Linked DNA regions of Oryzias latipes. The protein of the gene in region 2 interacts with the protein of the main gene of each other region in a biochemical or structural test. Links are inferred from orthologs where the notes say so. Each region holds a gene or a part of one and is shown on either strand. Other genes may lie near its edges.

Region 1 (3,922 bases), on a different chromosome or scaffold from region 2:
TTCGACATTCAACTTTGCCACAGTGGGAACGTTGACATTATGTGTAAATATTGTTACAAACATGCAGGGTGTAACCATGCTGCTATGAATAAAACATAAAAACCCACCTCCATGACAGCAAAAGATCTTCTCATCAACAATTGCAGCGATAGGAAGGCAGTTAAAGCAATCGGTGAAAGTCTTCCAGAGTTTGATGTTGTACCTCCTTTTACCTAAAAAGTGACGACAGATGTCTTTGATTATGTAAGAAGGTGTTTTCTAATCCAACATGCAATTAAATGGCCATAAACATCTTTATCAGCCACAGCAACTATGTGTAAAGATCAGGGTTCAGCTGTGCATCAAGGTGCACGTGTCCAAAAGCCTCTCTAAAGTCAATATAAAACCACTCACACTCATCGTAGAAGCCATATATTCTGTTGATTGAAGCACACTCGTGGTTTCCCCTCAGCAGAAAAAAGTTTTCTGGATATTTTATTTTGTAGGCCAGCAGAAGACAGATTGTTTCCAGAGACTGCTTCCCCCTGTCCACGTAGTCACCCAGAAACAGGTAGTTGCTCTCTGGAGGGAAGCCCCCATACTCAAACAGCCTGAGCAGGTCGTAGTATTGCCCATGAATATCACCTGAATGATACAGAATACAGGAAACCAAACTGATGAACACACATTCATTCCTTTGTTAATTAGAAGCACCCCTCCAATCATCTTTTCCGGTTTGGGAAAATGTTCTGTGGTATTTTTAAATTATGATTAAGCCTTTTTTTAAAGCCAAAATCAAACAACCTGTGTTGTTTTCTAGAACATAGTTTCCGCAGGAGTTCATTCTAAATTTGCCTCTTGAGTTGTGGGCAATTCCGAGGATGCTTTCTGAATTGTGGAACTGTTGGTATAGAGTTAGCCCACCCCTACTTCCCATTATCTATGTGTTTACACATTCTCCCGCTAGCTCACAGTCACTCACAACCCCAACATAAAATAACAAAATGGCTAGCAATATTGCAGCTATCCACCATACAGTTTAGAGTCAAATACTAGCTCAGACACAGAAAACAAAGACGAACATAGATCTAGTTATTTGCAAGTGGATACGTTAAAAGAGCGGGGGAACTTGTTGCTTGCTGATGGTAGCACCTACGTCACAGCTACAAGCGTTTTCCAACTGCATTTTTCTTTCTGCTTCTACTATTTCAATAAGGAAATACTCAGAAATGCACATTTTAAGCTTAATTTTGTCAACATATGTCCTCCATCATTAGAAAAAGCCCACAAGAACATGTTAACACAACTTTCATCAGAGTGAGCAATTAAGCCTAATACAAACAAACAATACCACAAATCTTCAAAGGGGCCTCAAGCTCGAGGAGAATGGGTTGACTGAGAAAGATCTCCCTAGATTTGAGGCATAATCCACGGATCTCGTTCTCCTGCAGCTGCACATTCTTGCCGGGCTTTGCTCCTCTGACTGCAAGGAAAAAACACAAACAACAGTCAGGAAAAAAAAAAAAAAGTACAGTTCCTGTCAGGTCAGCAATGCCCTGCACAGTTTGTATTAAGACCGTGACAAAATCACTTAATGTTTAGCAAGCTCTGAATTCAAAATGCTCTTTTTAGTCATTTTATGGTCTTTTACAGCATCTATGGGTGTTGTGTCTTTGACGGTAAATGATACACAGATTTTTTTTTGTGATAACAAAAACACGTCGTACTTTAGTTTCACCAAACCTGAAATGAGATAACATTAAGCCAAAACAACATGAAATGATATGATGGTCTTTTTACAAATAGAAACAGACACTTAAATGACTACTATAAATAAGAACATCTGCAGAGCCTGAACATTACAATCCCGGGGTTGTGCGTTACAGACACCATTTACGCTTTACAACACGGTGATTATAATGCGCTTTTGTGCATTTTTGAAACACCAACAATCTCTGTAAAACAGAATTCAGCTAATTATAAAAAAATACGTATTTATCTTTATGTGTTATCGAGTGCGTAAAAAAAAACCGGCGTCGCTACGCTAGTTGTTTTTTTTTTGTCAGATGTGTAGCACAAACAACCATAAAAGCAAAAAAATGATAATTTCCTTACCTTCTAAAAGCCGTTGGATTATACTATCTATGTTGAGCTTGTCAACATCAGCCATTGCAAGCGCCTGCGTTAAAGTCGTCTCTGTCTAATCTAGATCTTTACGCTAACTCCTGTGAAAGCTAGCCTGCTAGTTACCGTAGAATTAGCTAGCTCGGCTGATTTTCCGGTTCAACCTCAGATATGTTAGTCGGACGCACGCGCGGGGGGGATGAATATATAATATTAAATCCTAATTAGGTTATTTGCACGTCGCAGACGTTAAAAATAATCCCATCCGGCGGCGGGTTTTGTTGAGCGTTCGGGACTTGAAGGAGGACGTCACGGGCTCTAGCTGTTAGCTGGTGATGGTGTCCCGTCTGTTATCTCCTCTGCCGCACCTTCGGAACATAGCTGCCGCGCTGCGTCTGCCCCCTACTGGACGGAACGGGGAACGCAGCGTGAAGGAGCGCGCCAACTTCTCAAAATAATGTTTCACCATTCTGTATAGAACCAACAAGACTTCATTTACTCGTTTCAAAAAGCAGTTTATGACAGCAAAATAAATCACATGTTTTGCTACAATATGGTAATTTGAGGTTTGACGTAATGATTTGCACATTTATACATTTTCTTTTACTCCATTTGAATGTTTATAATAAAAGGGCTTGTTTTACTTTGCTGTTGTACTATAGGTTGATGGAGTTTTTTTCCTCTTTACCCCCTAAAGTAAATAGACTATGTTGATTTTAAGAACTAAACAAGCTAATTTCTGGGATTGTTCTTCAGCTCTGGTTTCATTTTTGATAAAGTGAAAGCAACACATATCAAAATGCTTTAAGAAATATTTTTCTACTTTTATTAGCATCTCATAATAAAACCAGAACCAACTGTTTTTATGGATAGTTAGTGTCACGAATACTATCTATATTTATGTGGAAAGTTTAAATCAGAGATAAAAATGTTATGTAATTTTTTATGTTTATTTGGTCTTTTAAAGGTAATTGTTTTTTTTCCTTTAAACAATAATCAACATTAATAAAAAAAGACTGTGCTGAAGCCTCATGCTTATCAAAGGCCATCCAAAAAAAAAAAAAAAACCTACAATTTTTTGTTTTGTTTTTGTGATTCATTCCCTGACTCTTATGTGATCCAAATCTAAACATATAAGTATTATGTCGATTCATAATTTTGGAGCAAAATAAAAAAATGTATTTAGTAAATACAATAAATTAATAACTATGAGTAAGTTTCTCTTTTCAAATTCAATAGTATTCGGTTTGCTGTTTTAGAAAAAGATGCATCTTATCAGTATATAAATAATCAGTACAGATGCTTGACTGGGATTCATTGTCATTTTAGAGGTCTCTGTCCTTCCCTTTACGAGAAATAACCAGCAAGTCAGTTGAGGGCTTTATACATTTTCTGAAATATGATCCGCATAATTTGAATTTATAACTGTGAAGATATGAAAATATTGTTATAAAAGTACTTTGCCTATTCAAAAAAATATCTAGCAAGCTAGAAATAGCATGAATAATGTGGGGAAAAAATTAATGGTTAACAAAAGTCAGCGACTTCGGAAGCTTCAATTTAAAGGTTTTTGGCACAACTAACTTTAGGTTTGAATTCAAGCTTGACAGTTTAAAAAGGAAGAATGAAAACATTTCCTAGAAGAGTGTGCTTTAAAATGAAACTTGGTAAAACCGGCTCAAACTAAGTCCTGCTCTGAGTGTTTTCCAGATGCAAACAAAAGATGCAAAACTGCATAAGAGTCACACGCTGGAGATTTAGCGAAACAGCTTAATGAATGCGTGAAAACGGTATAAATGTTCAGTAATATCCCTATGTT
Region 2 (3,922 bases):
TAATAATCAGGCAGATTTCTTTTGTCAAGAATTTGGTTTGAGCTGAGAATGGCTTTAAAACTTGTTTATTGAATAAAAGTTCATTGTTAGATTACAAAAAAAAGATACTTTATTTACTTGATATAAACACAATAAATATTTCATTCATTCATAAATTCATAGCCCAGCTGTATCTAAGTTCAGTAAGTCCAGAGGTCTTTGTTGGATTCCCCTACCTATGTCTTCGAGAAAGATCAGGTCCTTCTGCTGCTGCAGCTTGTAATTTCTCAGTAAACTCTCTGCTCTAAAACAGAACATAAAAAGTAAGAATTGACTCAAGGATTTTACACGATAATTCAAAAACCAGCAGTTGTTACATTATGCAACAGACAAAAAGAGAGACTACCTTGCAAGCCTTTCGTTTGTGAGCTGTTCACGAACACACAGCTGTTGCTCCCTTCCTGACAACAGAAAACACAATTTATTTGTACAAAAAGAGAGATTATTGTTGAAAACAAAGTTTAGAAAAAAACACCTTGCATTTCAAACTTTTGTGTGTGGACAGATGTGATGGCAACACTTTGGTTGAGAGGATGGATAATCACGTTCCGACTCCTCAAGCGTTTTATAAGGAACATCAGAAACAAGTACAGCAAATATAAAATCTACCAGATTGAAGCATTTGTGAATAAATGTATTAATCAAAGATTGCTTCGAAAAGGGCTGCTTATAATTATTAAGAGAGCAAGACACCCCAAACCCCTTTCTTTGGGATGAACCCATGCGTGGGAACAGAGAAATGTTTTCTAGTTCTTGTGCAATTTGGCAGCGGAACAGTTCAAGGCCTCAAATGTTGTTTCACAATTTCAGAAAAGTATCTCAGACTCTGATAAGTCAAATCCAAAGGACTGGTTTCTCATTGAATGGAGGCCGCTGCACTCAGAATAACCAAAGAACTATATTCTCCCCTTGATTTAGCCTCAGAAATAACTTAAAGCCTTACTCTCCAGCCTCTCCTCGCGCTCCTTCAGTGCTTTCTCCCTGTCCCGCAGAGCCTGTTCCCTCCGCCTGAGCTCCACCGCTGAGACGTGGGGCGCTTCACTCAGCCTCTGCGGGGGGCTGCTGGAGTCTGCCGACTTCCTTCGGGGTCGAACTTCTGACTTTCTCTGCTCATCCTCGACCACGACACTCAGCAGACTGCTCTGAAGAATAGACTCCACAGACGGCCTCAGGTAATCCTGTCAAAAAGCAGACTGGTGCTCAGCAGATCGTCTATTGCAGGATGAAAACAATCAATCCTTTATTTCAGACCTTCAAGTTGAGCATTCTGCTGATAAGAGAGTTCAGTTCCTCGGAATAACGGAAAGGAATTCTTCTAAACTTTCCTTCCCTGATCTTCTCTGCTAACTCCTTCTGGTTGTAAGCAGTGAATGGAGGCCTCAAAGAGGAAAAAATCCAAACATGAATTCATTAGATCAAACAGCCGAGGGAGCGGATGGAAAAGCTTAAAAAAAAAAACTTACGATAATGCGCAGAGTTCATACAGCAAACATCCCAATGACCAAATATCTGACTTTTCATTGTATGACATCCTATTTATTTGTTCCTGAATGAATAGAAAGTGTAAAAAACTAATCAATAACAAGTACAATATTTTTTTTACCTTGTAAATGTCCTTTAGAGATTTTTTTTAGAGAAAAAATAATTTAAAAAAAGCCAAAAATGTTAAATAACTTACTGGAGACATGTAGTATGGTGTGCCAACAAATGTCTTTGCAAAGCTGGTGTCGTGGTTCAGAATCCGAGCTAAACCGAAGTCGCCGAGTTTTACGTTCTGGTTTGCATCGAGGAAGATGTTGGCTGGTTTTAGATCCCGATGAAGGACGGTGGCTCTGCCGTCGCGCCGCCGGTGACACTCCTTTAGTGCCAGAGAAAGCTGCACCATGACTCGCAGGATAAACTGCTCCTCCAAGTACTTCCTGCCATTTAAAAACAACACATGATGATGCAGATAGAAAGAGGATGACTGCTTTTTCTTTCTTCCCATTTGCTCTATTTACCTCTCTTTGATACACTTGCTGATGAGACAAGACAGATCGCCACCTTCACAGTACTCCATGATGATGTACAGCATGGTATTACGGCGGTCTATAATGCGGTCGTAGTACCTCACAATGTTTGGGTGCTTGAGTTCCCTCAAGAGGTTGACCTCTGAGACCAGCATCTGTTTCTCACACTCAGCCATGGTGCCATAATCGAGCTCCTTCCACACAAGAATCTAGAGAGCAGAGATGCTTTAACCATCAAGAACATGTTCATCTTAGTCCTTTTTTCAAACTTAAAGTTCAAGTGTTTGAGTAAAAAATATTATGTTTTACTGATAAATGACAAAAAACATTTAAATGCTACATTTCCTTGATACTGAATTATGTTTAAAGATTTTTTCTTGTGAAATTAATGTCAGAAAAACTGTAATTTCCCAAATATTAAAGTACATTTGTGTCGTTATTGATTTACAGAGAAGCAAGTCATTGTTTTTTTTTTCATGACTTATCAATTAGATAACATTCACACCGTGTATTTATGTATCTTTATTTAAGAAAATACTGTATGCGTGTCTTGTGCCATAAATACTCACTTTCCCGTCACTCTTTCGTTTTATTTTCTGGCATCTTCCATAGGAGCCCGAGCCTATCGTGTACAGCACTTCGTAGTCATCAACACAGGACGGCATCTTGCCTTCGTCAACCGAAACCAACGTTAAAAGTTTCCAAACTTCACGTTAGCGTCAAATGTAAAGATAGGCCTTAGAAAAGTTGAACATCTAATTCAAGTAGTTACTTAAATTATGTTTTTTGCTCATCCAGATAATAAAGAAGTCCAAAGCCGATCTCCTCAAAACACTCGTGTTCTTTGGCATCAGTTGAAAACACAGGAAGTGCTGCTTCTCCGTTTAAATCGGTGCCAGAATTCTTACCTCTAATTGGCTCGTTCCCACGGGCACGACGGTCTCTGATTGGTCAAACAAGGACGCATTTGTTCACGTTGCTAAGAGCTGAAAACCCGCGAGATTAGAGCGGGAAGAAGCATGTTTATTCCCTGTCCACTAGAGGGCACCAAAAACAAGCAGTAGATTTACGGATTTGTTGACATATAATTGAACATACTAGATACAAATAAAACGTTTATTTGGGGAACGTGGGGAACAATTTGGGAAACAATATTGCTACAAAACACTTTTTTCGTATTATCCACATATAAATTGATTTTTCAAATAAAGCCAAGTGCACTTTTTTCTTTTGCATTTAAAATAACTAGTCACATGAGAACAATCCTTCGATTGAATTTAATAAATTTAACCCTGTCGGTAGCTTGTAAATGTACTTAAAGGTCACTGGCTCATCCAACAGCATTTTCTAAGCATGCATTCTAAGATGGATGGGAAGCAGATCCTACAGTCATCGGTCCCTTGATTTGACCTGCAGGGCAGTGAAAGACAGTGACCTCTCACAGTGCTCCTACATCTGCCATGGCTCTGAATTCACTTCATTGCTTCACTGCAGCAGGATGCCTTCTGGCACGACGGTTTAAGGAAAAAAATGCTGGCGTCACATTGTATTTTTCAGACTGAAACACAGAGCGAAAACATTCAAACGGCTTTGGATCATCTCTAGCATTGTGCACCTTTTCATCCCTTTTCTGGTGCTGTGACAGATTGACAGGTGGGAAGTAGCATGTTGGTAATTTCCAGCCCGTGAAATTGAAGCGTGACTGGAGCAAATCCTAACCACGACAGCTGGTTTTTGTGAACGTGTGATCCGTACTGGAGATGGATGCAGCGTCTGGGACAGTGGTCTAGCCTCTCAGTGGGGCAGCCAGCATAACAAGTCAGATTATCCCCACAACTCTGTCTGCTCTTGAGAGAGTGTTGGACCGGTCTGCC

Evidence for each region.
Region 1: the proteins of nek2 (region 2) and ppp1cc interact in far-western blotting, tested with the Homo sapiens proteins (2 studies listed by BioGRID and IntAct). The link is inferred for Oryzias latipes from reciprocal best matches to the Homo sapiens genes NEK2 and PPP1CC.

Annotation. Positions count from the first base shown.
Region 1 is NC_019867.2:25,506,196-25,510,117, forward strand, and holds the start of ppp1cc (serine/threonine-protein phosphatase PP1-gamma catalytic subunit), read right to left. Parts: upstream 2,472-3,922; 5' UTR 2,150-2,471; coding exon 2,095-2,149; intron 1,463-2,094; coding exon 1,331-1,462; intron 625-1,330; coding exon 394-624; intron 213-393; coding exon 108-212; intron 1-107. UniProt on the Homo sapiens protein: Protein phosphatase that associates with over 200 regulatory proteins to form highly specific holoenzymes which dephosphorylate hundreds of biological targets.
Region 2 is NC_019882.2:6,332,295-6,336,216, reverse strand, and holds the start of nek2 (serine/threonine-protein kinase Nek2), read right to left. Parts: upstream 2,944-3,922; 5' UTR 2,714-2,943; coding exon 2,618-2,713; intron 2,258-2,617; coding exon 2,040-2,257; intron 1,959-2,039; coding exon 1,718-1,958; intron 1,586-1,717; coding exon 1,503-1,585; intron 1,418-1,502; coding exon 1,291-1,417; intron 1,218-1,290; coding exon 983-1,217; intron 441-982; coding exon 386-440; intron 284-385; coding exon 216-283; intron 1-215. UniProt on the Homo sapiens protein: Protein kinase which is involved in the control of centrosome separation and bipolar spindle formation in mitotic cells and chromatin condensation in meiotic cells.